4 linked regions of the Elephas maximus indicus genome follow. The protein of the gene in region 1 interacts with the protein of each later gene in a biochemical or structural test. Links are inferred from orthologs where the notes say so. Each region holds a gene or a part of one and is shown in the gene's direction. Other genes may lie near its edges.

Region 1 (7,973 bases):
TTTTGACCTGGGATCTCTGCTCTGAGAAGCTCCTGGAACCAGGAGACTAAGAGAGAGACAGAGAGAGATGTAAAACTGAAGATGGCGAGATGCAGTGGCAAAGAAACGGTGTGGCAGGAGAGACCAGCAGGAGAGGGCACAGTGGGCTCCCTAGCCCACAGAGCAAGAAAGCTGAGTGCCTTTGGGCAGGAGGCTTGCTGGCAGAGTAGGGAGCCTCTGGGCACTTATTGGCAGAGCTAAAAGAACTTTGTAACACTTGCCCCAGCAGGGTAGAGGCCGAGGGTGAGAGAGAGACCTGCCTGTGAGCATAGATGGGAAGAGGCTGTCTTGATGGAAGAGCTGTATCCTGATTGTTCCTGAACCTGAGTTGTAACCTATTACTTACCTAATAAACCCCATAATCATGAGTACCGTCCATGAGTTCAGTGTCGCCATTGCAGTGAGTTACCAAGCTCAGCAGAGAAGTAGAGAGTGCCGTGGGAGGGACAGTTGGTGTTAGAATTGGTAAGGATAGTGGATACAGGAGCCATGTCTGATCTCCATCTCATAGGAATCAGCCTTGGGCTGTTGATCTTGATTCTCCTTCCCTCTTGTGAAGTTAGAGGAGGTCAGATGCCACTTGCACATCAATTTTGCAGTGGGCATGCACTAAATATTTATGAGAAAAATGAAGGAAGGAGATAAAGAAGGCTGTGAGGGAGGGACTCCCTGGGTAGTATTAACAGTTAATGTGCTCAGCTGCTAATTGAAAGGTTGGCGGTTCAAGTCCACCTATCGGCTCCTTGGAAGACAGGTCTAGCAATCTACTTCTGAAAAGTCTGCCACTGAAAACCCTATGGAGCAATCAAAATAAATGGTATCACTAAGAAGTGCTCAGGAGAGAAGGATGTTTGTACTAAAAAAATTGACATATATAATTTGGCAACACCAACAATGACCAAAAAATGAGTGTATGGTCACATATGTATGTGTGTAGGCATACAGGTGTATTAGTAGGTACAGGTGTATACATATATGTGTACAGATAGTAGTAGCTATATAAAAAAAAGTAAAGGTATATATGTGCAGGCATATATATTCATATAGGACTCAATTACAGACACCTTTCAGACATAGACAAACACCTTAAAGAGATTGGTTTTCTTGGTTTGAAGGCTTAGGACCTTAGTGTGACAGGACAACTCAGTCAATTGGCATAACATAGTTCACAAAGTTCATGTTCAGCATCCTAGTGAGGTGAGTAGCATCTTAAAAGCTTGCAAAAAGCTATCTAAGACACAGTTATTGGTCTCTACTCATCACGAACAAAGAGAAAGAAAGAAACCAAAGTCTCAGAGAAGAAACTAGTCTATAGGGCTAATAGTTTTCACTACCCACGGCCTCCTTTACCCTGAAACAAGAACCAGATGGTGTTCAGCTACTGCTGCTGACCATTCTGATATGGGCCACAATAGATGAACCCTGATAGATAAGGAGAAAAACACGAAACAGAACTCTAATTCTTAAGAAGTCCATACCTGTTGGACTAATTGAGACCAGAGAAATCCCTGAGACTATTGCCCTGAGACACTTTTCAAATCTTGAATTGAAATGATCCCGAGGCCGCCTTTTAGCTAAATAACAGAGCAGCACGCAAAATAAAGGATATCAGCCACTCAGCTGTCAGATTGTTGTGCTGTGGTGGCTTGCGTGTTGCTGTGATGCTAGAAGCTGTGCCACCAGTATTTCAAATACCAGCAGGGTCACCCATGGTGGACAGGCTTCAGCGGAGCTTCCAGACTAAGACAGACTAGAAGGAAGGACCTGGCAGCCTACTTCTGAAAAAACTGGCCAGTGGAAACCTTATGAATAGCAGCAGAACATTGTCTGATATAGTGCCAGAAGATGAGCCACTCAGGTTGGAAGGCACCCGAAAGACAACTGGGGAAGAACTGTCTCCTCAAAGTAGAGTTAACCTTAACGATGTGGATGGAGTCAAGCTTTCGCTGACGTGGCACTACTCAAAATAAGAAGCAGCAGCGGACACACTGGCTGCAACAATGGGCTTAAACATAGCAGTGATCGGGGAGGATGGTGCAGGACCAGGCAGCGGTTCGTATTTTGTACATAGGGTCGCTATGAGTCAGAACCAAATCGGTGGCACCTAACAGCAACAACAACAAGCCATGAGTACAGTCCTCTTAAAAAAAAAAATCTAAAGGTCAACAATTACTCTAAAGCAAAGATGAGAGGACAAGGGGGCTGGGAAAATAGAGTACCAGAAATGGAACAAACAGCGCAGTGAAAGAGAATGTTGACTCCTTGTGAAAAACGTAACCAATGTCTCTGAACAAACTGAATAGAAATTGTCAAGTGGGTACCTAATTTACTGTGTAAACTTTCACCAAAAACAATATTATTAAAACAGAACAACCTTATGCAGCACAGTTCTACTCTGACACACATGGGGTTGGAATGTGTCAGAATCAACTCGAGGGCAACTGTTGAGGGAGGAAGAAAATGAAGAAACAATGAATGAAGGAATGAATGTTCACATTTATGTACCATTTCAGAATCACTTGAAATAGGTCAACCCAACATGTAATGAGAAGATAGACTATCAGCAGTCACTCATACTCTTCGATGAATATTTATGCGTTCAATATTCAAGTAACTCATTTACTTCTAATTATGAACATTTGAGAACTTAGGTACATCTGATCCAAACCATGATATTTTTGATCAGCTCATACGCATTTGAAAGCTGGACAATGAATAAGGAAGACTGAAGAAAAATTGATGCCTTTGAATTATGGCGTTGGTGAAAATATTGAATATACATACCATGGACTACCAGAAGGACAAACAAACCTGTCCTGGAAGAAGTACAGCCAAAATGCTTCTTAGAAGCAAGGACGGCAAGACTTGTACTTAGGATGTGTTATCAGGAGGGATCAGTCCCTGGAGAAGGGCATCAAGATCCTCAATGAGATGGACTGAGACAGTAGCTGCAAAGATGGCTCGAACATAACAACGATTGTGAAAATGGCGCAGGACCAGGCAGTGTTTCTTTCTGTTGTACACAGGGTCGTTCTGAGTCAGAACCAACTCGGCACCTAACAACAACATGAACATAACTGCTCTTCTTCGAAATCATGGAAAATACCTAAAGTATAGAAGAGAAACAAATCATCTTTCATTCCAAATCCAGTGGTTAGTCTGCTAAAATAATTTGGCATATTTCTTTCCAGGTTTGTTTCTATGTATGTGTAGTACATAAGTGGGACCATTCTGTACATATATATAGACATACAGACTTGGGGCCCTGGTGGTGCAGTGGGTAAGGATTTGGCTGGTAAATATAAAAGTTGGCAGCTCGAATTCACCAGTAGCTCCTTAGAAACCCTCCCTATAAATCAGTTCCACTCTGTCGTATAGGGTCGCAATGAGTCAGAATCGACTCGAGGGTAAGGGTTATATGGTGTGGACTTGTATCTTGCTTCTTTCTCTTAAGGACAGATTATGAACATTCCCCATGTCATTAAGAATTCCTTGAACACGTGGCTTTCAGGTTGCTAAAATGCCTTCCGCTACATGGATGTGGCGCTCTGGGGGCCGGTGGTTAACAGCTATGGCGAACTAAAGCTGCTGACCAAGAGGTCGGCAGTTCGAATCCACCAGCCGCTCCCTGGGAACTCTGGTAATTTAAATATCTTTCTACCAATTTTTGGATATTTAAGGGCTTGCCAATTTAACACTACCGTTTGCTGCCTAATTTCGTGTCACGCTTTGTGGGGCCCCAAATCGGGTAATATGACTTGCTAGACCCGGGTAGGTGCCTCAGAATGGTACGTATTGTCCGTGCCTGGGTGGGGGTGCCTGCTTGAGGTGCGGGTTTGGTCTGAGCGCGCCTGACCTTCAAGCCCGGCCGGAAGCTTTTTCTCAGACTAGCTGACAGCCCCAGGCAGATGCCGAGCGCTGGGAACCGACGCCTCCACGTGCCCCGCGCAGGGTCCCGCCCCTCCGGCCGCCGCCACGCCCCTCGGTCCCCCGGCCGTCCTCTCCCGCAGCTCCATTTCCAGGCGGCCTCCGCGAGCGCGCCTTCCCCGGAATAGCCCCGCCCCCGGGCCGCAGCCACGCCCCTCAGTCCCTAGGCCATCCTCTCCCTCAGCTCCACGCCTTCCCCGGGAGTAGCCCCGCCCCCGGGCCGCAGCCACGCCCCTCAGTCCCCAGGCCGTCCTCTCCCGCAGCTCCATTTCCAGGCGGTCTCCGCGAGCGCGCCCTCCCCGGAGTAGCCCCGCCCCCGGGCCGCAGCCACGCCCCTCAGTCCCCAGGCCGTCCTCTCCCGCAGCTCCATTTCCAGGCGGTCTCCGCGAGTGCGCCCTCCCCGGAGTAGCCCCGCCCCCGGGCCGCAGCCACGCCCCTCAGTCCCCCGGCCGTTCTCTCCCGCAGCTCCATTTCCAGGCGGCCGCCGCGAGCGCGCCCTCCCCGGAGTAGCCCCGCCCCCGGGCCGCAGCCACGCCCCTCAGTCCCCCGGCCGTTCTCTCCCGCAGCTCCATTTCCAGGCGGCCGCCGCGAGCGCGCCCTCCCCGGAGTAGCCCCGCCCCCGGGCCGCGGGCTCCACCCCCAGAATCCGGGCCCCGGGCCGCTCCGGCCCCGCGGGCCGCTCGGGAGGCGCGGGGGCGGGCCCTACGCGATGACGTGCGCGGGCCTGCGCGGTGGAGGCTCGCGTCCCTGTTACTCAGCGGAGCGGTGGCGGCCGGACTACGCGGCCCGGTGGCGGAGCCGCGAGCTTCGCTGGGGAACGGCCGCGGCCGCTGCGGGACGGCGCCTGTCCCCGCCGGCGGCTCCGTTGTCCTCGTCCGCGCCTCTGCCGGGTGAGTGCGGCGGGCGCCTCGGGGCCGGGGCGAGCGGGCGGCCGGGCGGACGGCCCTCGGTGTTTGTTATTGTGCGGCTGCCGCGCCGCCTTCTCCTCAGCCCGACCCCCTCCCGGCAGTGGGGGCGGGGGCGCGGCGGGCGGCGGGCGGCGCGGGAACAATAGCGGTCGGGAGGCGGCGGCCGGGCCGGGGCGGGGTGCAGGCGGGCCCGAGCGGCGCCCCGAGCGGCCCTGACGGACCCCGAGCGGCGCCCCGAGCGGCGCCCCGCCTGACCCCGAGCGGCCCCGGCTGCCTCCCCACGGGGCCTGCGGGGGCGCGCGGCGCTCTTTGTGCGGACGCTCTGGGCGGGCGCGGGCGGCCGCGCGGGAAGGGCCTCCAGCTCTGGGCGCCCGGCGGAGGGCGGTGGTCTCCCGAGGTGGGCTTGCGGTCCGCGGTCGGCGCGTCTCCCCGGAGGGGCGCCCCGTGGGGGCCCCGGGCTTTTCTCCCCACCCTCGTCCCTTTGTCTGCGGCTGTGTCCCCGACCCGTGGGGGCAGGGCCGAGTCCGTCTGAACGTATCTGACGGGCGCCTTTCGTCTGAGTCGCGAAAAACTCCCGGTCAGACCTGCCCCGCGGGTCCCTGCCGCGTCGCCCGCGCGCTCCGACGGTGCCCGGGGTCGCTCCGTGTCCGCCTCTGGGCGCCGCGCCGGGGCTCCGGGGAGACTGGACGGCCAGCGCGTTGTCTCCACACGAGCGTCCCGGAGGCGCCTCCTTGGCGGTCCCAGCGTCCGTCTGTCTGTCGTTCATTCATTCACTCAGCTCCTCCCGTGAGCTGTACGCAGATCTGTTTGAAGGTTAGGGGAGGCCCGTGAGTGGTGCGTGTTAAAGAAGAGAGAGTCGTGCTCTGGGCGTTTTTACACATTTTTGTTTTTGTAGTACGGCTGGAACTTCTAATGTCAATAGGTATTAGGAACTGGAGTCAGATTTGCTGTAAGTCTACAACAGATTTTATTTATTTCAGGTTTTATCTCCTAGGGCACTTTGTAATGGTTACCTCAGATTCCCCTGTTACCTTCAAGCCTAGGAGGTCAGATTTCGGAAGTGAACCTGCTTAGTGTTGTCCCCAAGCCAGGAACGTCTTACATCCGTGTCTTCAGAGCCTAGTCTGCAATATAGCAAGTGCCGAATAGTCAGACAGATGAAACGCTCTTTATAATTGGTAGTATTTAAAATTAAGTCTTTGAAAAAAACCCAAAAAACTTCTAATGTTCTCCATAAAGTTCCAGAGGCTTCATGCAAACTGTCACTTCCAGATATCTAATTGATCGGTTCATTCGTATTATCTGTCATGGCAATAGAGGCTTTTGAATCACTCCAGCATCAATTTTTTCCTGTCACTTCTAGGCCATATCCTAAAATAAACCTTGTCTAAAGTATGGTTTTTTAGTGTGATTGATCAAGTAAGGTAGATTGTGTTTTGTGTGTATATGTGTATGTGCAGCACATCCTTTTGTGAATATTATTTGAAAGATTTTCGGTGACTCTAAGTGGAAAAGCTAGGACAGAAGAAACAAGCTGCACAAATGTTTTATTAGGAGTGCCTAATTTATTTCTAATAAATTTTTGTAAATGTTTATTAGAAATGTTTAAATTCCTTGTCCTTACACTTTTGACAGAACATTTGGCTCCCAGTCTCTCTCCAACTAACTAAATACATTCTAGCATAGTTTTGGATATGAAAGGATTTGAGGCGAACTTCTGTTATCCAATGTAGGGTAGAAATGATAAAATTAGAAAATGATACTTTATTAAGATGAGGAATGAAAACTTTGAGATACAAACGTTTACTGCTTTACCTAGTTGAGATTTGTCAGATTCCAGTAAGGGTTACTGATAAAAATCCTTTGGCAGCAGCTCACAGTCAGGCTACATTTAGAATGAAAGTTTTTTGTTTTGTTTTTCTAAATTCTGTTTTTTTAATGGTAGCTTTTTTGAGATATAATTCACCCATACCGTAGAATTGACCCTTTTAGAGTGTACAATTTAGTGGTTTTTTAGTATATTTACAAAGTTGAGTATTGATCACCATGGTTTAATTCCAGAGCGTTTTTATCACCCTAAGAAGTGACCCCATACCCATTGGCAGTCAGTGTCCACTGCCGGCTAAACGCTGTCTTAAAGGAAGAGATAGCACTGACTCTGTTAGTAGGTGTATTCCATTGATGGGTTTGAAAAGGACGCCCTCTACGTGTCCTGGTAGATTAGGAAGCTATATTCTTTCTATTCCTTTACATCCTGGGGGAAATGCCACTTGGAAAGAAAATTGGGGTAAGAATAAATTATACCAAAATTGAAGAGGTTAGAATCTTAAGTATTTGCTTTATACTTAATATTATGGAAATGACCTCGTGGGGATACCCAGTGCACAGTGAAACAACTTGAAGTAATTTGTTGTTAAATGACTAGTCACATAGTATTGTGGTGGTAATTAAGAGTGAATCCAAGCCTGATGCTTGTTAGTCTGCTTTGCCGGCGAGTTGAGTTTTGACATACTTGAGTCATCTGGATGGTTGAGGTGCTTTGTTGCACATGTAGAAGTATAAAAGCATGCTGACCATTGAGAGGCCAGCTCTCTAGGGACCTCTGGTCAGGAGTGGTATGGGTAGTGCCCTTTCTGACTCATATAGTGCAAGGAAGTCTATGACCACACAGCTTTAGATATGAATCGTTGGCCTGTTTCAGTAAGCTGTGATGCTTATTGTCTTAGTCATGAGCTCCTTACCTGAACGTTTAGAAGCTTTGTGTTTTTGCTTGAACGCAGGTTACCTTGAAGTTTGATTTCACAGATGAGTTCTGATTCAACAGAATTTATGACTTAAAAGGTGACCCGCCAAACCCAAACCTGTTGCTGTGGAGTTGACTCTGACTCACGGAGCCCCGTGCACTGTATCACAGAGTGGAGCTGCTCCATAGGGTTTTCTTGGCTGTGATCTTAATGGAAGCAGTTCGCCAGGCCCTCTTTCTGTGGAGCCTCTGGCTGGGTCCAGGAGTAGTGAAAGAAGAGTCGTCCTATCAGTCAGGGTAGTAGATGGAGCTAGAATAGCCGAGGAGTCAGACGTAGTTCTTATCTCAGTTCTGTC
Region 2 (7,875 bases), on another chromosome or scaffold:
CCTTTTCTGATCAAGGCTCTGCAGCATTGCTTACACTGCATTTTATTTGTCAGAACTGAGTCACTAAGCAAGAAGAATTAGACTCTACCTTTAGATGGCAGAAGTGTCAAAGAATTCACGAACGTGTTTGAAAACCACCATAAAATCATTGGGCTGCTTCTCTCTGCCTTTATTCACTTGGTGGGTAGAGGGTGGGGACTCACTTTTTCTCTCCTCGAGACCCTTTTTTGGGCATTCAAGAGGAAGCTTAACCCATTGCCGTCCTCGAGTTGATTCTGACTCATAGCAAAGAGGAAGCTTAGACCTGGAGATATAATCACAGAATAGTTATTCAGGCTTTCAAATTAGACACACTTGGAGTTGAATCCTGGCTCTGCTACTTACCAACTCTATGTTTTTGGGTAAATCACTTAATCTTGGGTAAGCCCATTTTAAGGAGCCCTGGTGGCTAGTGGCTAGGGCTTTGAACCAGTTCGCTCTGGTTTGAACCCCTGATGATAATTTGCATTTCTAACAAGTTCCCTGCTGGGAATTCGCATTTCTAATGAGTTCCCAGGAAGTTATACCTAAGAATCTGATTAAAATGTAGATTCAGTATATCTGGAGTGGAAATGCAAATTATCAGCTTGGAACTTCTTAGAAATGCAAATTCTCAGCAGGGAACTTGTTAGAAATACAAATTCTTAGCAAGGGTTCCAGCTGAACAAGCTGATTTGAAGCCCTGCTGGTGGCACAACAGTTAAGCCAGTTAAGCTGTTAAAGGGCCTGGCTGCTAACCAAAAGTTTGATGGTTTGAACTCATCCAGAGGCTCTGCAGAACAAAAACCTGTGAAGATTACAGCCAGAAAAAACTATGAGGCAGTTTACTCTGTCACCTGGGGTCATTATGAGTAGGAATTGACTCACAGCACCCAACAACAAGCCTCATTTTAGTCATCTGTAAAATCACAGTATCCTCCTTTCACTTAAAGCACAATAAAAATTTAAAAAAACAAAAACAGTATCGTCCTTTTGGGGTTACTGTAAGGATTAAATAAATTAATAGGTGTGTTTACATGAGTTAATACATGCTTAAAGCAATGATTAGCACACAGTAAAAAAATACCCCAAAAAGCAAACCTGCTGCCATCAAGTCAGCTCCAACTCATACAGACCCCATAGGGTTTCCAAGGCTGTAAATCTCCATGGAAGCAGGCTGCCACATCTTTCTTCTGGGGATCCACTGGTGGTTTCCAACCATGGACTTTTTTGGTTAGCAGCCGAGCACTTCACCCACTGCGCCACCAGGGCTCGCAGTACACAGTTACACTCCATAAATATTAGCTATTGCTGATACCATTATTCAACTCGTATTTATTAACATATAATTAACTCAGTCTTGCATGAATTCTATGTTAGATACCACATGCTGGGGTTAAGAAAAGGAGCAGTAATTCCATCAAGCTTCCAGGAACCTAAATTAGGGGGAAATGTTATCTACCATGTGGGTAGAGAGTGCAGACTTTGGAGTCAACCAGGCCTGATTCTCATTCTGAGTTTGTCCCTAGTTTCCAGCTGTGTGGCCTTCGATCAATCTTTAACTTTCTAAGCCTTAGTTTCCTCAGTTGTCAATGAGAATTATAATAGCACCCACCTTGCTAGGTTCTTGAAAGGATCAAATGAGATAATCTATGTAAAATGCTTAGCACATTTCCTGGAACATAGTAAATAGTTAATAAATGCTAATTATTAATTTTATTTATCAGGAAGTAGACTCATAAATGAAGACACTGTCATCCAAGGTGGTGAATGCTATACTTGATGTGGAAGCAACCTGCTGAGCAAGTCCAACAGAAGTGATTCACTTTGCCAGGAAGAATCTAGGAAAGCCTAGACAAGGTGGTGTTGGAATGGGGCTTTGAAGGATAAATAAAAGTTTTTCAGGTAAGGAATGAGGGGAGGGAAGGTGTTCCATGTGGAGGAAAGAATATCCATAAAGGCATGGCATTGCAGAAGGTGCTGGCATGTTTGAAGGAAGATAAGTTCAGTGTGGGAGCTTAGGGTGTGTGGGACAGAGGGGATGAGATGGGAAAAGGGGGTTTAGGCCAGGTTTTGTAGGACTTTGTAAGCCAAAACAAGAGGGCGGAAAGAACACTGAGTTCCTACCAGATGCCCAACACTGACTTAGATGTTCTCTCTCTATATATACATACCTTTTTTTTTTTAATCTAATTTGCGTTTTATCCTGTAGGTAATAGAGAACAGTAGAGATTTTTAAGTAGGCTGTGACATGACTGCTTATTTATTTATTTAATTTTTAGGACAATGTCCCTGGCAGCCAGGGGAAGGACAGGCTGGAGTGAGGAGAGAATAGTCAGGAAGCCACAGGGTTGGCCCAAGCGAAACTGCCATCTTTAACCAGGAGGGATTCGGCAGAGGTGTGGAGAAGGCCAGCGGCTAGGCTGTGGAGAGGTTCCAGGGTCAAATGTATAGGCTCAGGGATAGATTTTATGTGTAAATGAGGTAGAGAGGCAGTGAGGAAATGAAAACCAGTTGGTGAGGGGTCAGGGGAGGAGAATAGGGTTTGAGTGAATGGAGCAAAGCTATGAGATCTGGAGTCCAAAAACCAGACTCTGAACCCACCTGGATTAGCTGTGAGTACCTTTGTAGTCTGGAGAACTTTACCCTATCTTGACCTTAGTTTCTTATCAGTGAAACAGGTGCTAATAATATGGCTTCTCCTATCTATCACATGCCGATTGTTGTGAGAAAAAAAAGGGGTAACAAGTGTAAAAGTGCTTTGTAAGCAGTAAATCACTAAATAAATATTAGACCCACCGTTATTAGGGAGGAAGCCCTGGTGACGCAGTGGTTAAGAGCTACAGCTGCTAACCAAAAGGTCAGCAGTTTGAATCCACCAGGCGCTCCTTGGAAATCATATGGGGCAGTTCTACCCTGTCCTATAGAGTTGCTATGAGTCAGAATCCACTGGACGGCAGTGGGTTTTAGTTTTGGTTATTAGGGAGGCACTCAACTGCATGGTATAGCACAGCTGAGAGACAGTTTAGGTGAGGTGGAAGGTGGACGGTTATCTGTCCTGGGGTGGAGAGAAAACAAACAGGGTGCTCAACACATGCTACACACAAGCACAGTGATTTCCACACTGGGCTGGGTCTACAGGAGGGACATGGGAGACTCTCAATCCCATACCTAGTGACCCTATCAGGTGCCCCACAGCTGCTCTCATCTCTCACTTGGATGTACTGAGGTCCAAGAGGTCCAAATCTAGTGTCTTTGAACGGATTTCGGGTAGCTGAGGAACGATGTTAAGTCTGACAAGTAAATGCTACGTGGTGTGTTTTTCTGGGGCTGGAAACCATAGTCTCCATTAGACTCTCAGAGGGTTTGTGACCCCCTCCTAAAGTCAAGAGTCATTGATTTTCTCACCAGAAATTAATAAGAATAGTTACCCTCGGAGAGAGGGGCTGGTGAAAAGGGGAAGGAGGAGATTTTCATTTTCCACTTTCTGAACGGTTTGAACTTTCTAACCATGAGTATGTATTAAAAAACTTAAAAAAATGTGTATTAGTTTCATTTAAAAAAACTGCCACTAGGGGTAGGGGTTATCTGGATGATGAGAAAATGGGCTCTTTTTAGATTTGTGTTTACAAACATAAATACTAATAGTTGCTATTTTAAAGGAAACCCTGGTGGTGTAGTGGTAAGAACTATAGCTGCTAATCAGAGTCGGCAGTTCAAATCCACCAGGCGCTCCTTGGAAACAGTCTGGGGCAGTTTTACTCTGTCCTATAGGATCGTTATGAGTCAGAATCGAATCGACGGCAACGGGTTTTTTGTTATTTTAAAACCCTGTTAGTATCAGCAAAACAAATGCAAAAATCACTCCATTATGCAAAGTTTATCCTCTATTATGACTCCATTATGCGAAACCTACACTTCCTATAAACTACTGGCTTCAATTCAGTAAAACCTGCGTAAGAAGTAGACGGGTGAAAAAAAAAAAAACAAAAAACAGGCAAATTCAGGTATTTCAACTCAGGCATAAAAATGTCAAATACTGAGTATACGTGTCAACCTTCATATATATTGGCGTATGAAGCTTCAAGGAATGGAAAGGAAGACAGGGTTAAATCCACTACCCTCTCCCCACGCACTCTAGTAATTACTCTATTTCCACGTCATGTTTCCGGGTGTGTATGTCCCGACTCAAGCAGAAATTAAGTTCAAAGCAGGCAGGAGTCACCCATGTTCTTTTTGTTATCCGCCAGAAACCCGACTCAGGAGCTGGGCCCCCTGAGGACCTGGCGATACCTGGGGACTGTCTAACTGGCTGAATCGCACGTGGTAAGAGGCTCCCAACCTCGCCTCCACGTGGTGCCAAAGGCCGGGAACAGGGAGAGCGGGCAGGCGGGAGCCGCATCAGGGGCATTTAAAGTGTCTTGACGTCACACACTGCCAGGAACTCAGCTGAGTTTTCAGCAGGACATTCCAGTCATCTTTCCTCCCTCCCCCCGGGCCTCTGTGCCGCTGGCCTCTGCTCTTCCCCGGCTGTTGTGGAGGGAGGAGCACTACGCCCTCCGGAGCAGCCAGCACAGGGGCGTCCCCAGCCTTTACTTGGCTCCGCCCCTTCCCCCAGTGACTCTTTTGATTGGTCGGTGGGTAGGGCTTCGTAGGTACAGTGCGCGCAGCGGAGCCTCTGGATGGCGGAGACAGCTGGCTATCTCATGAATTATGCATAACAGCGTGTCTAAGCCCGGCAGGCGCTGGGCGGGGATTGGCTGGAGGGGCTGTAATTCAGCCGTTTCCGGAGCTGTGGCGGCGTAGGCCCGGAGGAGGAGCCTGGGGTTCCGACGTCGCCACGGAGGGAGCGAGCCCTAACCGGATCCTTGACTAGCACCCCAACTTGGTGTTCTTTCTCCCCGTCTGCTGGGAGAGGCCCCGCGGCCTGAGGGAACCCCGCGGCCCGCACCCCTGCCCAAGCGCAGCCCCGGCCTGTCGGGCCTCAGCCGGAGAAACAGGTGAAGGGGGTGAAGGGTGGGGCCGTCTCCCCAGACGCCCCCAGGCCTGGGGACCCCGGGGACGCGGGAGCGGGTGCGACCTTTTTGGCATGTTTGGGGAAAAACTGGAAACTTCAGTGGGGCGGGGGGAAATGAGGGGACACCTAGCGTCGCTCTGAAGGGACGACTCCCTGGGATGACAGGAGCGGGCCTCTGAAAGGAGAGGGGGCGCTGAAAGGAAGTTTCATTCCTCGGAGAAAAGGGGAGAAGCGGAGGAAGAGTGAGACTGAGCTCGAGAGGGAGGACTGTGGGATGGAGTGGCAGCGGTGAGGGACAGCCCCCCTACTTCCTGCTCCCTGGGACTCTGGGGACGTTCCGGCCACAGGAGAGACTGTCACACCGGCGGAGATCACTGGGGGCGGGGGTGTGGAAAGAGCCTCGTCCCCGCCCCGCTGGCAGGGTCCGGCGGCTCCTGGCTGAGCCACTTCCTCCTTGCCCGGTTCCCGCTCCTTTAGGTGCCAGCTGTAATCCTCCGGAGGTAGGAATAGGTGTCTTCCCCGAGAGCCTGACCGGCTGGTTGGTTGTGGGTAGGATTATTGCATAAGAATCTAGTTTCCTGTAGGGAAATTGACAAGACTTGTACTCTTTCTAAATTCCTTTCCATCTTATTCTAGCTTAAGCCGTGCTTTCCCCCCCTTTTTAAAACAAAACGAAACAAGATAAAACCCCAATCAGGCCAGCCCTAGAGAGAAGTAAACCTCTTTCCCCCTTGGCATTATTCTTTTATAAACACCTGGTAAACACGGCCAGAAGATAAATAATTGAGCCATTGCATTTACTGGATTGTGGTGTTGCTTAATTGCATAGGACAGAATGAACCAATCGACAGTGGTTTCTGTCTCCCAGCCAAGATCTTGGGTAAATGCAGAGGAGAGGAAAGCAAAGACAGGCTGGCCTTGGCGAAGCTATGTGCGCAAACTTTACCTGTGTTTGGGGGTGTGGTTGCCCTTAAATTAGCAAAATTCAAACCCTCGCCCAAGTTGCCTTTTCCATGTTTAGCACACATCACTCTGTTATATCAAGTGGGTGTATGTGTGTTGACATAATCAGTGGTTAGTCACTTTTTTTTATTAAAAAATATAGTTTGTACCTTCTGGTTTTTATTGCATGTGTATGTAAAGGGTGTACTTATTCTGTACATGGATTGTAACTTTTTGGCTGGCTGTGCTAATAAACGTTGGTTTGAATAAGTCAAAATGGTAAATCATCTCCATTTTTATGTGTGAACTTAGACCGTATTGTGATTTGATTCAGCCAATTTTCTATTTTTCTTTATATTAAATATGTCTGTGTTCCCTGAGTCAACACATTGATTTCTTCATTACATATGTCAGACTGGAGTACTAGTAGAAGTTTTGTTCAGATGTTTGCACAGTAGGATGGGAGAGAGAAGTCTGGAATAAAAAAAAAAAAACCTCCGTAGATCTTGGGGGGCTGATCTTAGTCTCTATATCTGTTAGCACACCCACCACAAAGAACCATTAGCAAATTCATGAAAATATGTGTATGTGTATCTTTTGGGAAGGATAGCCATTTAGAAATACCCACAGTTATGACTAGACCCACAAAGGGCTTGTGATAATAGGTCATTCATATAACATTAACCTATTTCGTAAATAAGGAAATTGGGGGCAAATGAACAAGACGCTTGTCCAAGTCAGCAGAGTGCTATAGTGGCAGAACTCATACTTTCTGTATATGTTGTGTTCTTTTTGACTATCAATGGTTAAGTATTAGGTGTTGATTTAGAGTGAATGTAAGCCCTGCTGACATAGTGGTAAAGTGCCACGGCTGCTAACCAAAGGGTCAGCAGTTCGAATCCACCAGGCGCTCCTTGGAAACTCTGTGGGGCAGTTCTACTCTGTCCTGTAGAGTCGCTATGAGTTGGAATCGACTCGACGGCACTGGGTTTGGTTTGGTTTTTGGTAAGCCCTGCTGGGAAAAGTGTCAGTGCAATTCTAACATATATCTGGATGGTGAAATACCTCCAGCAGGCTGTAAGACTCCAAGGAACACAAAGATTCAATAAACAGGTGAAAAAGAAGTACAGATAGGGCTTGCTTAGGTTACTTTTCTAACTGCTATGTCTAACTTGGAAAGTAACTGTTTTTAGTAGGGAAAATGCACCATCAGAACACAGGTATTTGGCTAAGGGAAAGAGATGTTTTCTTAGGGAAAATTTGTTAAGGGAAGGGCAGTTGTGACTTAGATGTCATTTAAACCAGAGTGCTTTGTGGCTTACACTGGTAGTTTGCGTCTCCAGAAAGATGCTTTCTCCTCCCTGCGTCTAAGTGTCTTGACATTCAGGTATGAGATGGGGCAGATGGAGACCATCATTGCAGAAGCTTGAATCCAGCTCCCTTTTAGCTTATGGTTTTCAGAGAGGTGGCATACCAATCCGTCAACAAACATTACTTTGTGAAAGTTGCTGGGAAGAATAAAATGTGTCTTATTCCCAGAATTTGTAATCTACTGGGGTGACTTGATCAGTACTTCAACCATCCAGTGAGACATGTTGTCGTCAAAGAGGTGGTAAGAGCATTGAGCCTGTGCTTTCCAAAAAGGTGGCTATTGTATATAAAAAAAAGCATATAGTACAGATACAGAACATTTCTGTTATTATAGGAAGTTGTATTGGACAGCGCTGCACCAAGCACTACAGTCTTCAGAGGAAGGAGAGGTTATAGGGGCTGAAATTGCCTAGGAAGTCTTCTTGGCAAAGGAGCGATTTGAACTGGGTCTCAAATAATGGGTGGAATTTGGGTAAGTGTAAAGAATTTGGGGTGAGGAGATATGGGGGATATAGTACGAACAAAAT
Region 3 (7,287 bases), on another chromosome or scaffold:
GGAAAAGACCCTCCCCCTTCTTACCTCTTACTCATTCTTCAGTTCTTACTCATTCTTCATTTTTCAGAAAGACCATCTTTGAATTTTTGTATCCATGAGAATCTTGGGGGGTGAGATCTGGTCCAAACTGCCAAAATGTACTCGTTTATGTGACTCAGCTGTCTAGGGCCAGAGTGATTTCAGGCACTGCTTGATCCAGGGCCCAAATGATTTGACCAGGACTGTTTCTACCCTTTTTTCCCACCTGTTATTTTTCTCTCTCAAAGGACCCAGCACTCTTTCATCATAGCACATAATGATATTAGTTTAGTTGCTTAATTTCTGTCTCTTCCAGGGGACTGTAAAGTCTTAGGAGAGAAGCTTTCTCTGTTTGGTTTACTCCTGTATATCCACATGTAGTTTTCTTTACTTCAACAATTATGCCTGACACACTTAGTGATTTAAATAAAGGGTCTGAAATAGTGTGTCAAGCAACTTAGCCAGAGAAAGGAATGAACTACATGGAGCAGTGAGGGCCCCACACAGGCTGGTGAATTTAGGATGCATGGCTCTCAAACTTCGGGACCTCTGGAAGTGGGAGTGCATTTTCACAAGCTCCCAGATGATTCTGCTTTTAATGCTTCTTGAACCACACCTTTTAGAAACGGTACCAAAGTGGCATACCCATCTGCAGCTCTGTCTGTTTTTTTTTTTAATAGCTCTCTGCTGACCCTGCTACTGGCATGTAGGTGGTGAATAGTTGAGTTGATGAAGTACTGGAGGGTTGTGAAAGGACAGAGAGGAATGTGAACTAACCGTATTGCCAAGGTTGTGATAATGTGATAAGGATGGAAATGCTTGCAGGAGGGTTTGGAAAACCAATGAGGAAGTGGAAGAACAGAGGTATCTAGGAGTTGTCAGAACAAGTTGCCTAGGAAGCTCCTTTGAACTGGCTGCCACGGCGAGTGATGTTAGAAGTCAGGCTGTTGAATTTGTTCTTTTGGAAGTAGAACAGTTTTTCAGGATAATGTTTTCATTAATCATCAGTTTAAGGTCTTTAATAGGCATCTCAAATTTAGTATGTCCAAACAAATTACTGATCTGCCTTCCACCAAACCTGTGCACCCACTTCTTCACCTTTTCAGTAGATGGCAACTCCATCTTACCAGTTGCTTAGGCCTTGGCATTATCCTTGACTCCTCTCTGTCACACCTGACATCTAACCCTTTGGCAAATCCCATTGGCTCTACCATCAAAATCCCTAATCCAATAATTTCTCATTACCTCAAGTGTGGCCTGAGCCTCCATCATCTCTCACCAGAACTATTACAATAGCCTCTGCACTGGACTTCCTACTTCCACACTAGCTCTCCTTATCCTCAGTTAAATTCTTCACTCAATAACTAGATAATCCATTCCCGTCGAGCTGATTGCTACTCATAGCAACCCTAGAGGACAGACTAGAACTGCCCCATAGGGTTTCCAAGGAATGGCTGGTGGATTCAAACTGCTGTCCTGGTTAGCAGGCGTAGCACTTAACCACTGTGCCACAATAACCAGATGGGCCACTTTAAACCCAAGTCAGTTCATGTCCCTCCTCTGCTCAAAACCTCACCATGGCCTTGTAGGCTCTACTGAATCCCACCCCCTTTACCTCTCAGATCTTACCTCTTACTGCGGTCCCACTTCACTTATTCTCCTCAGCCACGCTGGCCTCTTTGTTGTGCCTCAGACACAACAAAGCACCTTTGCATTTGCTGTCCCTTCTGTCTGGAATACTCATCGTCCATATGTCCACACGATTCACTTCTTCACTTCCTTTAAGTCTTTGCTCAAATGCTTCTCAATGAAGCCGTCCTTGAACACTCTAAAACTGCATCCCCTATTTCTGCACTCATCTTCTCTCATTAATTTTTTCATTGTACTTACAGCCATCTGACATACTGTATATTTTATTCCATCATTTGTCTCTCTTAACAAGAATCTGAGCTTCACAAGGCTGGGATTTTTGTTGTGTTCACTGCTGTCTCCCCAGTGCCTATAATTACCTGGATACAGTAGGCATCCAATAAATGTTAATTAATGAGGTCCAGATGATGGCCAGGCATCTCTGCAGAGGAACAGGTCAGGTGGTAGGACCTATCTGGTGATAGGTCAGGTACCACATGACCTGTGTAAGTCATCCAGGATGTAGTTCGTGAAGTGATGAGAAATGGTCATTGTCATAATCATATATAGGGCCCACCTTGCCCTTTTTTGTTTCTCTTCTACAGGCTCAGCGACAGCCTTACCAAGGACTCCATGAATATCAAGGCCCATATTCATATGTTGCTAGAGGTGAGAGCAGCTTAGCCCATGCCCAGACTCACCACTAAATGTGTTTAGGGTGACAAATCAAGGAAGAGAGCCAGAGAAGGGAAGGACCATCTTTCCTGCCAATCTGGAGCCAGACCTACTCTGAGGGAGGGGAGGTCAGAGTAAGCTAGGGTGGGGCCTAGACCCAGTATCTGTTTAAACTCTTCTGTCCTCTTTTTCAGGGGCTTAGAGAGCTACAAGGCCTGCACAGTCTCCCAGAGAAGCCTCATCACTGACTTCAGCTGCCCTCCCCCAACATTAAAGAGCCTGAATGCCTTTGAGTCCCTTGGCCTTTTTTTTCCCCCTTAACCCCTGCTGATTGCCGAAGTGCCCTGTTTCTAAAGCACACAGTTACTAAGAGGCCCAGAGCTCCAGACTCTTCTAAAACGCCCAGAAATCCCGCCTCCAGCCTGTTGACGGCCAGCGTTTGCCACTTGCCTTTACGCTCTACCCACTCTTCTGTTGCCTTGGCAACCTGGCCTCCCACTTCACCCAGTCCTTTTCCTGTACCTCACCTTTCCAATTGCCATAAAGAATGGGCCAATTCAGGGTGGGAATTTGCCCAGGCTGATCCCTGGGCAATCAGCCTTTCACTCCTGCCCCTAAGGTTTACCCTCCTCCCACGCCCCGACAGTTTCTCTGGTACACTAATTACACCCACGCCCCATTCAGCCCAACTTCGGCCTCGCTGCTGCTTCTAAATGCTTCCAGCTTCTGCCAACAGGCCCAGAGCCGGGCCTAGTCCCCCCCACTTCTAACTCCAGCCCCTCTTTTAGGTTGAGCTGGGTTTTCGCCAATCAACGCAGGGCTAGATTCCACCCCTTTACAACTGGCTGCATCATAGGCCTTTAGTTTCTGCCACTCAGCGATCCTTCGCGTGTCTCGCAGCCCTCCGACCCTCCTACTTCCGCTCTGTGCTAAATTAGTCTCTTCTAACCAATCATCATAGAGTTACCCTGCCCGCCCACGCAGAGCCAGGGCCCGACCCCCTCCCGGTCAGCTGCTACTCCCACTTCTATTAAAGTCCTGCTTCCGCTTAGCGTGGAGTGCAGCACCACCCCGTTGCTGTTTTGGCAGCTGTCTAGGAGTCTGTCATCCGCCAATCCTCTTCACCCACCCTCCACCCTCGGAAGTTGTCTGTCTTCCATCAATCCCATTTAGGCCAATCACTGCTGGGCTAGCCCGCCAGAACTTTGTTAACTGCCCACGGTCTAGCAGTCCTTCTTGAGCCAATCAGCGCTGAGCACCGCAGGCCTAACACACTCCCTCCGGACCTGGGCGGTTGTCCGCGGGCTAGCGGTTCTCTTTGGACCAATCACAGTATAGCTCTGCGGGGCAGGACCTACCTCCTCACCCCAAGTAGCGCATTGGATCCGTGCTGCTTGGGCCAATCAGCTAGCGGCGGGGCTCTGAGCTCCACCTCTACCGGCCCACGTGAGCGGTGGGGAAACGCAGGGTCGGCTTCTAGGTGGTGCCGCCGCCGCCGCCGCCGCCGCCGCCGCCGCCGCCGCCGCCGCCGCCGCCGCCGCCGCCGCCGCCGCCGCCCCTCCCCGCCGCCACCGCCGCCGCCGCCTCGGAGCCCGGGCCTGGGGGGCGGTGGGGCCGTGCATGGAGCCCCCGCCCCCCGGAGCTGCCAACGCCGCCACGGTGCTGCGCACAGGTGAGCCCTGGACCTGGAGGGTTGGGGGACCACCCGTGAACACACGTATCCTTCCCGCCCCTGCGCGGGGGATGTGCTTTAGCCCGTGGCCTGATGGTGTTCGAGTCCTCACCACTACCACCACGGCTGGTGGACCTGCCTGTAGTATTGTTCGCTTCCTTTGCCCCTTGTAGTGGATCTGACCGTGGCCTAACCTCTCTCCCCCATTTTATAATGGATCGGTCTGCGTGTTTGTCTTTCTCCCCACCGCAACTTACAGTGGACCCGTTCGTGGTCTTGCCCCCACCCCCACTTATAGGGGACAAGTCTGTGGCATTTTCCAACCATATAGTAGGTGAATCCGAGTGCTTGTATTTCACCTATACTCAATTGTCAGGGGACCCATCTATGGCCTTGTTTATTCCACCCCTCCTGTTCCTTGTGAATCAATCCGTAGTGTTGTACCCCCCACCCCTCTTTAATAGTGAGTCAGTCTGTGAGTTTGTATTCTTGCCTTCTCCAGTCCCCCAAAGCATCAGCCCATGGCTTTATCCCCCCTTTTCATTTTATGGTGGATTAGTTTATATGCTTGTATACACATCTCAGTAGTCATCAGTCCGTTGTCTTCTCTCACTTTTTTGCAGACCTTAAGTAGGAGGGCTTCTCTCTTCTTTTTAATAGTAAGTTAAACTAGTACTTTATACATCCCCTCTTCCAGTATCCCAGTCCATGGCCTTGTCGCTCTCTCCTTTTAGTCAGTCTGTGTGATGGTTTTTCTCCCCCTCCATTGTAGGGCATCAGTCAATGAGCTTTTTTGCTTCCTTTCTCCCATTAGAGGAGTATGGCCATATCTCCTCTCCTTTGTGGTGGATTTGTCCAGTGGCCTTCCTGCTATCTGTGTGCTTGCATTCATACATCGTTGCCCCACATACCCTCCCATGAGTTCGATGCTTTGTAACCCCTTTCCCAAAGGGTTCAACCTGTGTGCTTTTATTTCCCCCCTCCTTTCCTTGTGGATCAGTCTGTGGCCTTCCCTGCCCCCAACTTTAATATTGTTATCATCCTGTGTGTTTGTTGAACCCAGATCTTTTTTACTCTAGATAACAGCCCCTTACACACACTTTTTTGTGCTTTAAGTGAAAGTTTACAAATCAAGTCAGTCTCTCATATAAAAACATATACACACCTTGCTATGTTCTCCTAGCTGCTCTCCCCCTAATATGAGCACACTCCTCCTCTCCACCCTGTATTCCCCGTGTCCATTCAACCAGCTCCTGTCCCCTTCTTCCTTCTCATCTCGCCTCCAGACAGGAGCTGCCCACATAGTCTCGTGTCTACTTGAGCCAAGAAGCTCACTCCTCGCCAGTATCATTTTCTGTCTTATAGTCCAATCCAATCCCTGTCTGAAGAGTTGGCTTTGGGAATGGTTCCAGTCTTGGGCTAACAGCGGGTCCAGGGACCATGACCTCCAGGGTCCCTCCAGTCTCATTCAGACCATTATGTCTGTCTGGTCCTTTTATGAGAATTTGAGATCTGCATCCCACATCTCTCCTGCTCCATCAGGGATTCACCGTTGTATTCCTTTTCAGGGCAGTCATCGGTCACACACACTCTTTAACCACCAAGACATTCTGCCTTACTACAATAAATGAATACATTAATGATAGTGATGATAATAATACCAATAGAAACTGATATTGATTGAGCACATATGGTACCAGGCATGCTTTTTAAGTGTTTTACATTAATGAACTCATTTAATCCTCACCACAGCCCTGTGAGATAAATATTATCATTATCCCCATTTCACAGTTGAGGAAACTGAGGCATAGGGAGGTTAAACACCTTACTCAAAGGTTGCCCAGTAAGTACCAGGTTAGGCTGCCTCTCAGGGCACAGGATACTTTTTGAGGCTCCCTTCCCTTACCTCATCCCACTCCGCAGAGCCCACTCCATAAAAACCAAATTAGTTCCCATCTCCAAACTTATGTTCTTGCTGTCTTCTCTGCCTGTGGATCTGTCTCCATCTACACCTTGCCTCAGCACCCACCCACCCCCAATCCCAGAAGCTATGTGACCTTAGATTAGTGATTTAGCCACTTTCTTTCTGCACCTGTTTCTCATTTGTAGCATGGGGGAATCAGAACTAGACCCTCTCCAGTATATATAAAGAATACCTGTGAGTTAATAAAACAAGTTACCTCTCTGGCCTCACCTCATACACTTACACCCTCTCACAAACCCTGCTTCAGCTACACTGGCCTCCTCCTCACTGGTCCTCAAACACACCAGGCCTCTGCACTGGCTGTTTTCTCTGCTGAGAACGCACTACCCCCAGATACCTGCATGGCTCCATTCAGGCCTCTGTTCAAATGTCAATCTCTCAATGAGGCCCTCCCTGACTATCTTGTTTAAAAGAGATACCCTGGAACCACACACACGGCAGGGCTCAAGCCCCTTTTCTGCTTTATTTGTCCTTTTGCCCTTTATCACTCTCTAACACACTGTATAATTTACTAGTTTATTGTGCTTATTGTCTGTCTCTCCCCTTTAGAATGGGAGTACTGTGAGGGCTTAAAATGTTTATGTGTTTATTAACAGGAGCGTCTCCAGCACCTAAAAATGTACCTGGTATGCAGTAGGTGCTTCATAAGAATTTGTTGCATGAATGGATGAAAAAAATAAAATTGAGACAAATCAGGGTGGGGGACAGATGGAGATAAAGAGAAGATAAGAGAGTTAGTTAAAAGAGCTAGTTAGTTGGAATTGATCATTCAACAAACTACTGAGTACCAGGCACTCTTCTAGGTAGAACAAAATAGGCAGAAACTCCTACCCTTGTGGAGCAGACATTTAGTTGGGGAGACAGACTATATAAATAAATAAATAAATATTTTTATATATATATATATATATAAACAAGTAAAATTCGATAGTATATTAGACAAGTGCTAAAGAAAAAAAGTGAAGTAGGGATGGTAGAAACGGAGTACTGGGTGGTTGGAATCTTAGGGTGGCCAGGGCAGGTCTCACTTGGAAGGTGACATAAAATGGGGGGGATGGGAAGAAAAAGGATGATATACCAGCTAGTAGCTAACATTTGTTGAATGCCTGCCATGTGCCAGAGAAGCTTTCTAAGTCCTTTACATATATTGACACATTCAATCCTTACAAAAACCTTTGAGAGTAGGTGTATTTTTTAGGATGTTTTACTTTGATGTTTTACAGATGAGGAAACAGACACAGAGAGCCTTAAGTAACTTGCTCAAGGTCACACAGCTAGAACAGGAAAGAGGAATATTAGGCCAAAAACT
Region 4 (8,452 bases), on another chromosome or scaffold:
GATAAAATAATATTTGTTTAAAGAATTTGGATTTTATACACTATATAATGTGGAATCACTAAAGAGTTTGAAGAGAGAAGATACGATCAGAATCATAGCTTAAACACTAACTCTGGCAATGGTGGCTAGAATTTATTTGAAAGGTTAGCTACCAGAAGTAGAAGAAGTAATTTACTCATAAGTTACTAATGTATATATATATATTTTTTTCTATTTCCTGAACATGTACACATGGATTTTTTTATTATACATTCATCTGGTCTAATCAGGCATTTTCACAGTATATAAAACCCATAGGTCTTAGGCACTATGGCTGTAGGGCTATGCTATCCAATACGGTATGTGTGACTTCTAGCACTTGAAGTGTGGCTAGAACAAATTGAGATGTGGTGTAAGTATGAAATGTACACCATATTTCAAATGCCTAATACAAAAAAAAAGAGTAAAATAATGTTATTAATATTTTATATTGATTACAAAGTAAATGATAATATTTTGGATATATTATGTAAAATAAAATACATTATTAAAATTAATTTCACCTGCTTTTTTTTTTTTTTTTGACTGTGACTACTAGAAAATTTAAATTACATATGTGGCTCACATTTTACTTCTACCAGACAGCACTGCTCTGGTAGATGACAATTTTGTACACCTTTTCAGGTATTTTGGCCTCAGAACAACATAAATCAATTGCAAAGTGAAAATGCAAACGTTGCAGAAGGTAGCAATTTGAATATTAAGGAGATCCTTGAGAAAATGTATGCTGTCTTTGAATATTTATGCAAAAATTATAGTCATAATTAAGCCACAAAAGTTCACAAAGCCAATGGAAGTGGTACTGAACCGCTTGGTTCACAAACAAAGCCTTGTCTACATAGGATTCAGTGAATCATAAAGGAAGATAAAACTGGCAAGGACGCTAATCCAAAGAGAGTAATTCGAATATTATAGGAGGTCCTTGAGAAAATGTCTGAGGTCTTTGAATATTTTTGCACAGATTATAGTCATGATTAAGCCACAAAGGTCAAACCAACAAAGAATATCTTGTCATATATCAAAAAACAGCAATCAACGTGGCTCATTCAAAGAATTGAAAAAATTAGAGCAGAGTTGTAAAGATAAGCAGATTTTTGCTAATATTAGACAGAGCAATCTTAATAAATTGTGGTTTTATTTGTTAATATAAAATCCCAATTCAACTGTTTTACTTATTTACTACAAAATTTAGTTTCTAATTTCAAGTACATGCAAATAAATGCAAAATGTTTAGATGGTTGTTTAATAAAAGGGAATCATAAAAACATATATTTATTTAAAATACTTTACTTAAGCTTAAAACATATAAAGGCTTTCCTTTGGTTTGGTTTGGGGTTTTTGTTTTTTCCAAGTATTCGACTCTAGGGCCTTGGTCTTTTGAGTGTGGGTCCACTGTTCTATTTATCTTGCTCACATATTGCATTGCCTACAGTTTCCAGTTTCAGTTTCTTTAAAGTGAGAACTGAAAAATACCTGCAAAGTAATTTTTTTTTTTAGATTTGAATGCTTTTTTCCCACTTTTTTACAATCATCACAACTGCAACTAACTTGAAGATATTTTTTTCAATGACTGGCCTTCATTCATTCTTTCAAAATATTTAACTTAATTTTTATTGGTACAGTTTTCTTTTTGCACTTACATACTCATGTTGCATTAATTTAATAATCCGTTTAATAATATTTAATTAAATTTCCTAAGCAAAGTTATGATAGGTATAATCAGGTTCGAGAATAAACACAACAGACTCTCCCAGGGACCATAATTCACCTGCCGGGAGCAGAAGTGGGCAGGTGCACACCAGCCACTGACCATGAACATTCATTGTGCAGTGGCATTCCTCAGCATGTCATACACAGAGAACGACAAGCAACTGTTACTGATGAGTCAGGTAAGTAGAGGCTAGTTAAAAACTTTCTACAATTATGTCACCTGCAGTGCCCTTGTAGTGGAACCAGTAATCCACAGATAGCAGTTTCCTGACTAAAACATCTGGAAACACCTGGCAAATGTGGTATCTGGGAAGAACATGGCAAAACCAAGATCTAACCCCAGCTCTCCTGCTCCCTAATAAATATTTATAAAGCCTGGAGGAACACCAGCTTTTGTCCTATTCTCAAGGTTACATTCTTACTTTTTATAGCCATCTAAGATTTTTTTTTATAACTCACGCAAGTGTGAATACGTGTATACACACTGATGGATCTTAAATTCTAAATCAGAATCAGTCCAATAAATACCCACTAATAAAAACAATTATAGATGGGAATATTTAATTATTTTTTTGTAAATATGAAAAACAACAAACAATATCCTTAGAGGAGAAAACTCCTTGCATGTGAATATCAGGTGCTTAATAAATATATGATGAATGAAATACAAGCTGATATATTTCTGCCATTGCATACTAAGTCTCTTCATTCTAATGTTAGTGATATTTGTGTACAACGAGGAAATACACCAATATTAAACTGGTTTCTCCAAATGAACATGATGTAGCAACTGAAGTGTGACTTAGGTGATTCCCAGAAGCACTATGTGAAAGCAGTGATCTGTAAAGCACTCACATAAAGGCTACAGAAACTGTCGTGGCATAAATGAAATCACGGCAAGGTTTGTATCCTCCAGTGAAGATGGAAATAAGGAGCTTGAAAACAGTAACTGGAGTTTTCAGTTCCAGAAGCGACCTTTGAAGAGACCTGAGTCTCCGTTAAGTCATTAAAGAAATCAAATTAAAGCAATTCAGAGTATACATTAGCTTGATATTTGACATATGAATCTCTGCAGTAATAAAAAAAACATGACACAGCAGCACCAAAACTAGCATTTACAATCTTATCCGTGCTTAAGACTCAGAAACTACGGTAATAATTCCTTGCAGCTGGATTCTCCGCGAAGAAGATTTTATATTAACTTTCCGCCGAAGGAGAACACTCTTTTCCAATCGAGCATGTCCTTTGGTTAGTTTTCTCTCTTAAAGAAAAAAAAAAAAGAGCGAGAGCGAGAGCGAGAAATCAGCAGGCCGGTGTGTAGATGCATAATGGCAATCCGAATATTTACATAAAAGATTAAGGGGAAAATTACTCAAAATGCCAAAAACTATCCAGCTCTCAGGTTTCTAGTGGCAGTGTATGGTGGATAGAGGAGGTCAGAGAATGTAGCTGACTGATAGTGCTGTTTTTGTTCCCATCTGTCTTTGGTCCCAAGTTTGAATCCCTTTGGATGAATTAGTGGGCAAAGGCAAAGTCTGCTGGAATCCTGTTTTATTTTAGCTACTCTGATCAAGCTTCAAAATTGTTCCTATTTTGAAAGGTTCCTGGCTCCACCGAACTTTTCTCACAGGTACCTGACCGTGTGTGTGTGCGTGCGTGTGTGTGTGTGTGTGTGTGTGTAAATGTAAAGGTTTTTAGATCTAAATAGGGAAGTGGAAAGTTTATTCTTTTCAATTTAGTGGGTGTGGCAATCCGGGAAGATCAGGGAAGTAACTACTGTTTGGTTTGGATGATACACTTGGCTATCGTTAAAAGAGCATATAATTATAGGCTAAACGTAGACTTAAAATTTTAACAGATTTATCTAAACTTTCAAAATTTGTACCGTTGGATGTAATTATCTAAAACTGTCTGATGGCAGGTGTTGTACCAGTATTAAAAACAGTGAACTAATATGAAATCAAGACCCTTAAAAACTCCCTCCACTATCACCTTGCTCCTCAGGTAACATACCTAGAAAGGGGGTTTTAATTGTATCAAGAAATGAAAGGAATTATTACATGGATAGTTCAGTCCAGGCCATGCATAGTTCAGGCTTTCGTCTAAATATTATGAAGACAGACAAGATAGCTCTCTCCTTTCTCTGCGTGGGAAGCCCCCTCCCCCCGCATTAAAATAAATTACCATTATTTAGTGTTTCTCAAAATATACCTAGAGACGCTGCTCCTGTCTTCTGGGAGATTTCCCATCACAGACAAACCAACTTAAGAGAAACGCAACACAACTCTACCCGGCTGAACAAAGGTCGAAAATCATTAACATGCAAATGAACCTTTTTCTATCCCAAAGCACCTTACGGCAGACTCTCCCCAGGGATGTTACTGTTGCTAGACCCATCCAGCAGCTCCCCAGGGATCCAGGGGTTCAAAACACCGCGTTTGGCAACCGGGTACTGCGGGGGATGGGGATGGGGGTGGGGGTGGAGGCACCTGGGACCATCGCCCGACCCCGCCAGGAAGAGGGACGTGCAGCGAGGGGCGTCGGGTTTGGGGAGGGCCAGGGCCAGGCTGAGGATGACATTATCGAGCACTTCCTGCACAGCGTAGGTTCCTTCCCCAAAGGTGCTCTATCTGGTTCTGTGCCCTTTCCAAAGTCAGAGCCGAGGAAAAAACAAAGCTCCTCAGGACATCCATGTGTCTCCATAGCCAAGTGGTACTGGGGAGACAAGGGCTGTCTGAAACCAACGACTTCAGGATGTAAACACGGTATTCCAAGAAACTTTGAAGTTTTGATTATTTGTAGCACGAGGGGCGGGGGACAAAAGAAGAGGAAAAATTTCTTCAAAAAAAAACTTTGTTTTTGGTCCGCAGCAGCACGTCCACTGAACGTTGGGTTTCTTTCGCTTTGCAGCAGGCAACACCCCCGGCGCCACCTGCGCGTCGCGCGCGGAGCGGGCAGGATGGGGCTTGGCCCGCGCCCGGGTCTCCCGACGCCACTGCAAAGGGCAGTGTGAATGACAAGACTGCAAATCTCCTCCCCAACATCCCCTTCCACGCATCACACGCACACATTCCAACTAATTATTTATTTCGGAAGCTGCAACTTCAGTAGGGCGAGCTCCCGGTGGGCCGAGCCGAGATTGCAGCAGACACGAAGCGGCGCGATGCTGCCACTCCGGCACCTCCTGTGGCCGGTGAGGCCCGCGACTACCTGGCGGCGCGGCGGGCGCAGCACGCAGAGTCCAGGAAGTTCCACCGCCGCCACGTCCGAGTCCACGGCGCCGGCCCGCCCGCCCCGCCGAGCGCGCAGCCCACTCCCCCCAACCTGCTGCGCCGCCGCCCCCGCCGACCCGCCCTCCGCCTCCGGCCAAACCCCGCGCCCCCGCCCGCCCGTCTGTCCCGGGCAGAGCCCGGCGGGCCACGCTCACGCAGTTGGCGCAGGCAGTTCTACGCTGGCGGCGCAGCGCCCGCCGGTCCGCCCGCCCCCTGCGCTCTCCCCGCCCCCTCCCTCCCTCTCGGGGGCCGAGCGAATGTAGCCCGCGAGAGAAAATGGCGGCGGCGGCGGGGAATCGCGCCTCGTCGTCGGGATTCCCGGGCGCCGGGGCGGTGAGCCCCGAGGCGGGCGGCGGCAGAGGGCCCCTGAAGGCGAGCAGCGTGCCCGCGGCAGCCGCGGGGCTCCTGCGGGAGGCGGGCAGCGGGGGCCGCGAGCGGGCGGAGTGGCGGCGGCGGCAGCTGCGCAAAGTGCGGAGTGTGGAGCTGGACCGGCTGCCCGAGCCGCCGATCTTCCTCGCCGCTTCTCCGCCGTCCTCCTCAACTTCCCCGTCGCCGGAGCCCGCGGACTCGGCAGCGGGCGGGAGCGGTTTCCAGCCTCTGGCGGTGCCGCCGCCCCACGGAGCCGTGAGCCGCTGCGGCGCCCAGCCTGCAGAGCTAGTGGCCGCTTCGGACAGCGGCGCCCCGAACCTCGCAGGGGCCGAGCCCGGGGAGAAGCGAGCGTCCGCCGCCGAGCCGTCTCCTGCAGCGGCCCCCACCGGGTGAGTAGCACCGCCGGGGGCGCGGAGAGAACTTTGGTTGTAGGCAGAGGGCAATGAATGAACCCCGGGTACCGTGCGCAGCGTCCTGGGGCCGCGTTCTGGGATACTGCGCGCCGCTTGCCGGGGTCCGAACCCCCGCACCCCCCGGGCACCCTCTCAGACCTCCTCCCGGCGTCGGGCGGCGCCCCGGACCCGGCCTAGGGGTTGGACGGGGTCCCGGGGCGGGGAAGTGCCGGGGAGTTTGTTATTGTTTGTAGACATGTGACAGACGTGCCAACCCGTCTGCGGGACCCGTTGCGAAAAGGTGTGGAGGCCCTGGCTAGCTCTGGGGCTCTGGGAATCCGTGCTCTCCGAGGAGCCGGGGCTTGAGACCCCGGCGCTGCCCTCAGGGCAATTTGGGGCCGGACCCAGGGGGCAGGGGGCAACCAGGTGGCGGCGCGCCAGGAACGGAGTCTCGGGGACGGGGGGCGAGGCCGGAGCCGGCCGGCGGGCGGTGGTCGGCAAAGGGGCGGGGTGGGTGGGGAGCCCCAACCGGAGGCCGGGGCGAGGGCGAGAGGACAGAAGAGAAAGCGACGAGGTCTCTGCGGCCGTGACAGGCCGAGCCCCTCCGCCCGCCTGGAGCTCGAGTCCTGAGGCAGGTATCGGGGGCCGGGCCCGGATGCCGCGGCGCGCCCCAAGAGCCGGCAGTAGGGGATTCCCGGGGGACGGCTCGGTAACGCCTGTCAAAGCGGTGCGGACAGATAGACTGCAAACTCGTGGGACTTGCAGTCTTTTCGAAATTGGGGTTTTCTAATTGCGTCCCCCCCAAAGGGGCTCCGAGAGTACTTGGGAATGCGAACTGCACGGAGAAGACTAGAGCGACTTCGGTTTGGAGTTTGAATTTGGTCTTTGAAGTTTGCATTTGGCTGAGTGGTGTAAGAGACCCGACCGGATGTGTCAGCCGTTCAATTTCAAAGCGGTGGTGACTGCTCCCCGCAGTTCCTCCGGCGTGGTTCGGGAGCGCGGCGCGGGTGCGGTGCTTCCTGCTCTGTGCAGCTGCGTCGGCCGACTGCCGAATTCCAGGGTTTTTTTGGGGGTTTTGTACAGAGCTGTCGGCTCAGCTAAGACAGACCTGTGGGGCTTATGCAGTACGATACATACGTGCAGTGTAACTCAGAGGAGCGATTCGTGGCCTGACCCTTTTTTCGCAGCTGGGGTTTTTTATGTTAAAGGAAATTCAAATAAATATGACAGCTATAATCTTTTTTTTTTTTTTTAATCTGGCTAACGTATACAAAGCACAAAGTCTTGATGGTGTATTTTGAGTTGCTGGAAATGGTTTTGTGATGGTCACCCTTTGCCCTGTAGAATTCCCTGACCCTTGTTGTGAGTATTTTAAAGAGTGTGTAACTTAGGTTTGTGTTTCTTGTGAGACTAATTTGACAGTGGAAATCTTAGTTTTGGTTCATTATCTGAAGTGATTTGGTACTTTTTTGTGAGATTATTTGTTTAAAACTACAGTTCATTTATTACTTGGATGTCGCTCCCTCCCCTGAAAATAAATAAAAACTAAGAAAAAAAAATAGACTTTACCATGGCAGTATTGAAACAAAAGGAGATTGTGACTGTGATAGTTTTTTGTGTGCACTTGTACATGTAACTTAGTTTTACAAGAGTTATATTCCTTTACAGTTTTCTATTTCTATGCACATTGGACAAAAACTTAACTGGAAAAATTCTTTGAAGGCAAATGTGAGAAATTAGTTTTACCTATACTCATGATACATAACTCTTTGGATGCAATAAATGATTTAGTAAATATCAGCATTCTGGTCTTCTCATTGAGCTATGAATATAGTATAAGGGCAGCCACTGTTAAGATAACACATAGAAGTTGTTTGGTATGGTCTTCTGACACAAAATAAGAGAACTAAGGTGGAAAAAAAAAAGCTATGAATATAGTATAAGGGCAGCCACTGTTAAGATAACACATAGAAGTTGTTTGGTATGGTCTTTTGACACAAAATAAGAGAACTAAAGTGGAGGCAGATAGAATTCAGGGACTGAATAAATCCATGCTTAGTTTTTGTGTTTTATAACCTAGGTTTTTTTCTCCTCTTTGTTTAAGGGGCGGATTATAAATTGCACAGTATATGATATAATAGACTAGTTTGCATAACCTTTTTTTTTTTTTTAATGACTTTCATTAGCCAGAAAGCTTTTGGCTCATCCCACATATAAAAGTAATTATTTCCTTTATAATTAAGTGTTGATTCCCTGTCTTTTTAAAATACGATGATTTTTCTAACTTCTTTGGCAATTGGGGTTGAAATTCATTTCAGTCTCTTGGTATAAACACTGAGTATAAGTAGTTCAATAAAACTTGAATTGAGCTTTGCATTATACTTGTTGACAATAGTTTCATATGTTCAGGAGGAAAATCAGACAGTGAGATTTTGAAATATTTTTATGTTCGAGTAGGAGTAGGGGTCTAAAGACCTCTTCTGTCTAAAGACCTATTTTTTTTTTTATTAATTCTATGATTTCAATTTGAGAATTCCCCTTAGTTTTTTTTTTAACTTTTTTATGTTGAATGTAGAAATTAAAATTGTAGAAAATACACTTGTGAGGTATAAATTATATAAATAACAGTAATTTTTAAAATTGGAGATTTAAAATCTGGCCCTCTTTTTC

The links.
Region 2: of the proteins of MAPK8 (region 1) and STAT3, one has a biochemical effect on the other in vitro, tested with the Homo sapiens proteins (2 studies listed by BioGRID). The link is inferred for Elephas maximus indicus from reciprocal best matches to the Homo sapiens genes MAPK8 and STAT3.
Region 3: of the proteins of MAPK8 (region 1) and ELK1, one has a biochemical effect on the other in vitro, tested with the Homo sapiens proteins (3 studies listed by BioGRID). The link is inferred for Elephas maximus indicus from reciprocal best matches to the Homo sapiens genes MAPK8 and ELK1.
Region 4: of the proteins of MAPK8 (region 1) and MAP3K1, one has a biochemical effect on the other in vitro, tested with the Homo sapiens proteins (3 studies listed by BioGRID, with this or other methods). The link is inferred for Elephas maximus indicus from reciprocal best matches to the Homo sapiens genes MAPK8 and MAP3K1.

The regions. Positions count from the first base shown.
Region 1 is NC_064834.1:1,515,255-1,523,227, forward strand, and holds the start of MAPK8 (mitogen-activated protein kinase 8), read left to right. Parts: upstream 1-4,668; 5' UTR 4,669-4,856; intron 4,857-7,973. UniProt on the Homo sapiens protein: Serine/threonine-protein kinase involved in various processes such as cell proliferation, differentiation, migration, transformation and programmed cell death.
Region 2 is NC_064837.1:49,311,794-49,319,668, reverse strand, and holds the start of STAT3 (signal transducer and activator of transcription 3), read left to right. Parts: upstream 1-4,788; 5' UTR 4,789-5,018; intron 5,019-7,875. UniProt on the Homo sapiens protein: Signal transducer and transcription activator that mediates cellular responses to interleukins, KITLG/SCF, LEP and other growth factors. Once activated, recruits coactivators, such as NCOA1 or MED1, to the promoter region of the target gene.
Region 3 is NC_064846.1:123,965,361-123,972,647, forward strand, and holds the start of ELK1 (ETS domain-containing protein Elk-1), read left to right. Parts: upstream 1-3,883; 5' UTR 3,884-3,994; intron 3,995-7,287. Other genes in the region: protein UXT, read left to right, coding at 2,253-2,316, 2,517-2,570. UniProt on the Homo sapiens protein: Transcription factor that binds to purine-rich DNA sequences. Forms a ternary complex with SRF and the ETS and SRF motifs of the serum response element (SRE) on the promoter region of immediate early genes such as FOS and IER2.
Region 4 is NC_064820.1:60,717,729-60,726,180, forward strand, and holds the start of MAP3K1 (mitogen-activated protein kinase kinase kinase 1), read left to right. Parts: upstream 1-5,261; 5' UTR 5,262-5,297; coding exon 5,298-5,779; intron 5,780-5,785; exon of another isoform or gene 5,786-6,083; intron 6,084-6,306; exon of another isoform or gene 6,307-6,413; intron 6,414-8,452. UniProt on the Homo sapiens protein: Component of a protein kinase signal transduction cascade. Activates the ERK and JNK kinase pathways by phosphorylation of MAP2K1 and MAP2K4. May phosphorylate the MAPK8/JNK1 kinase.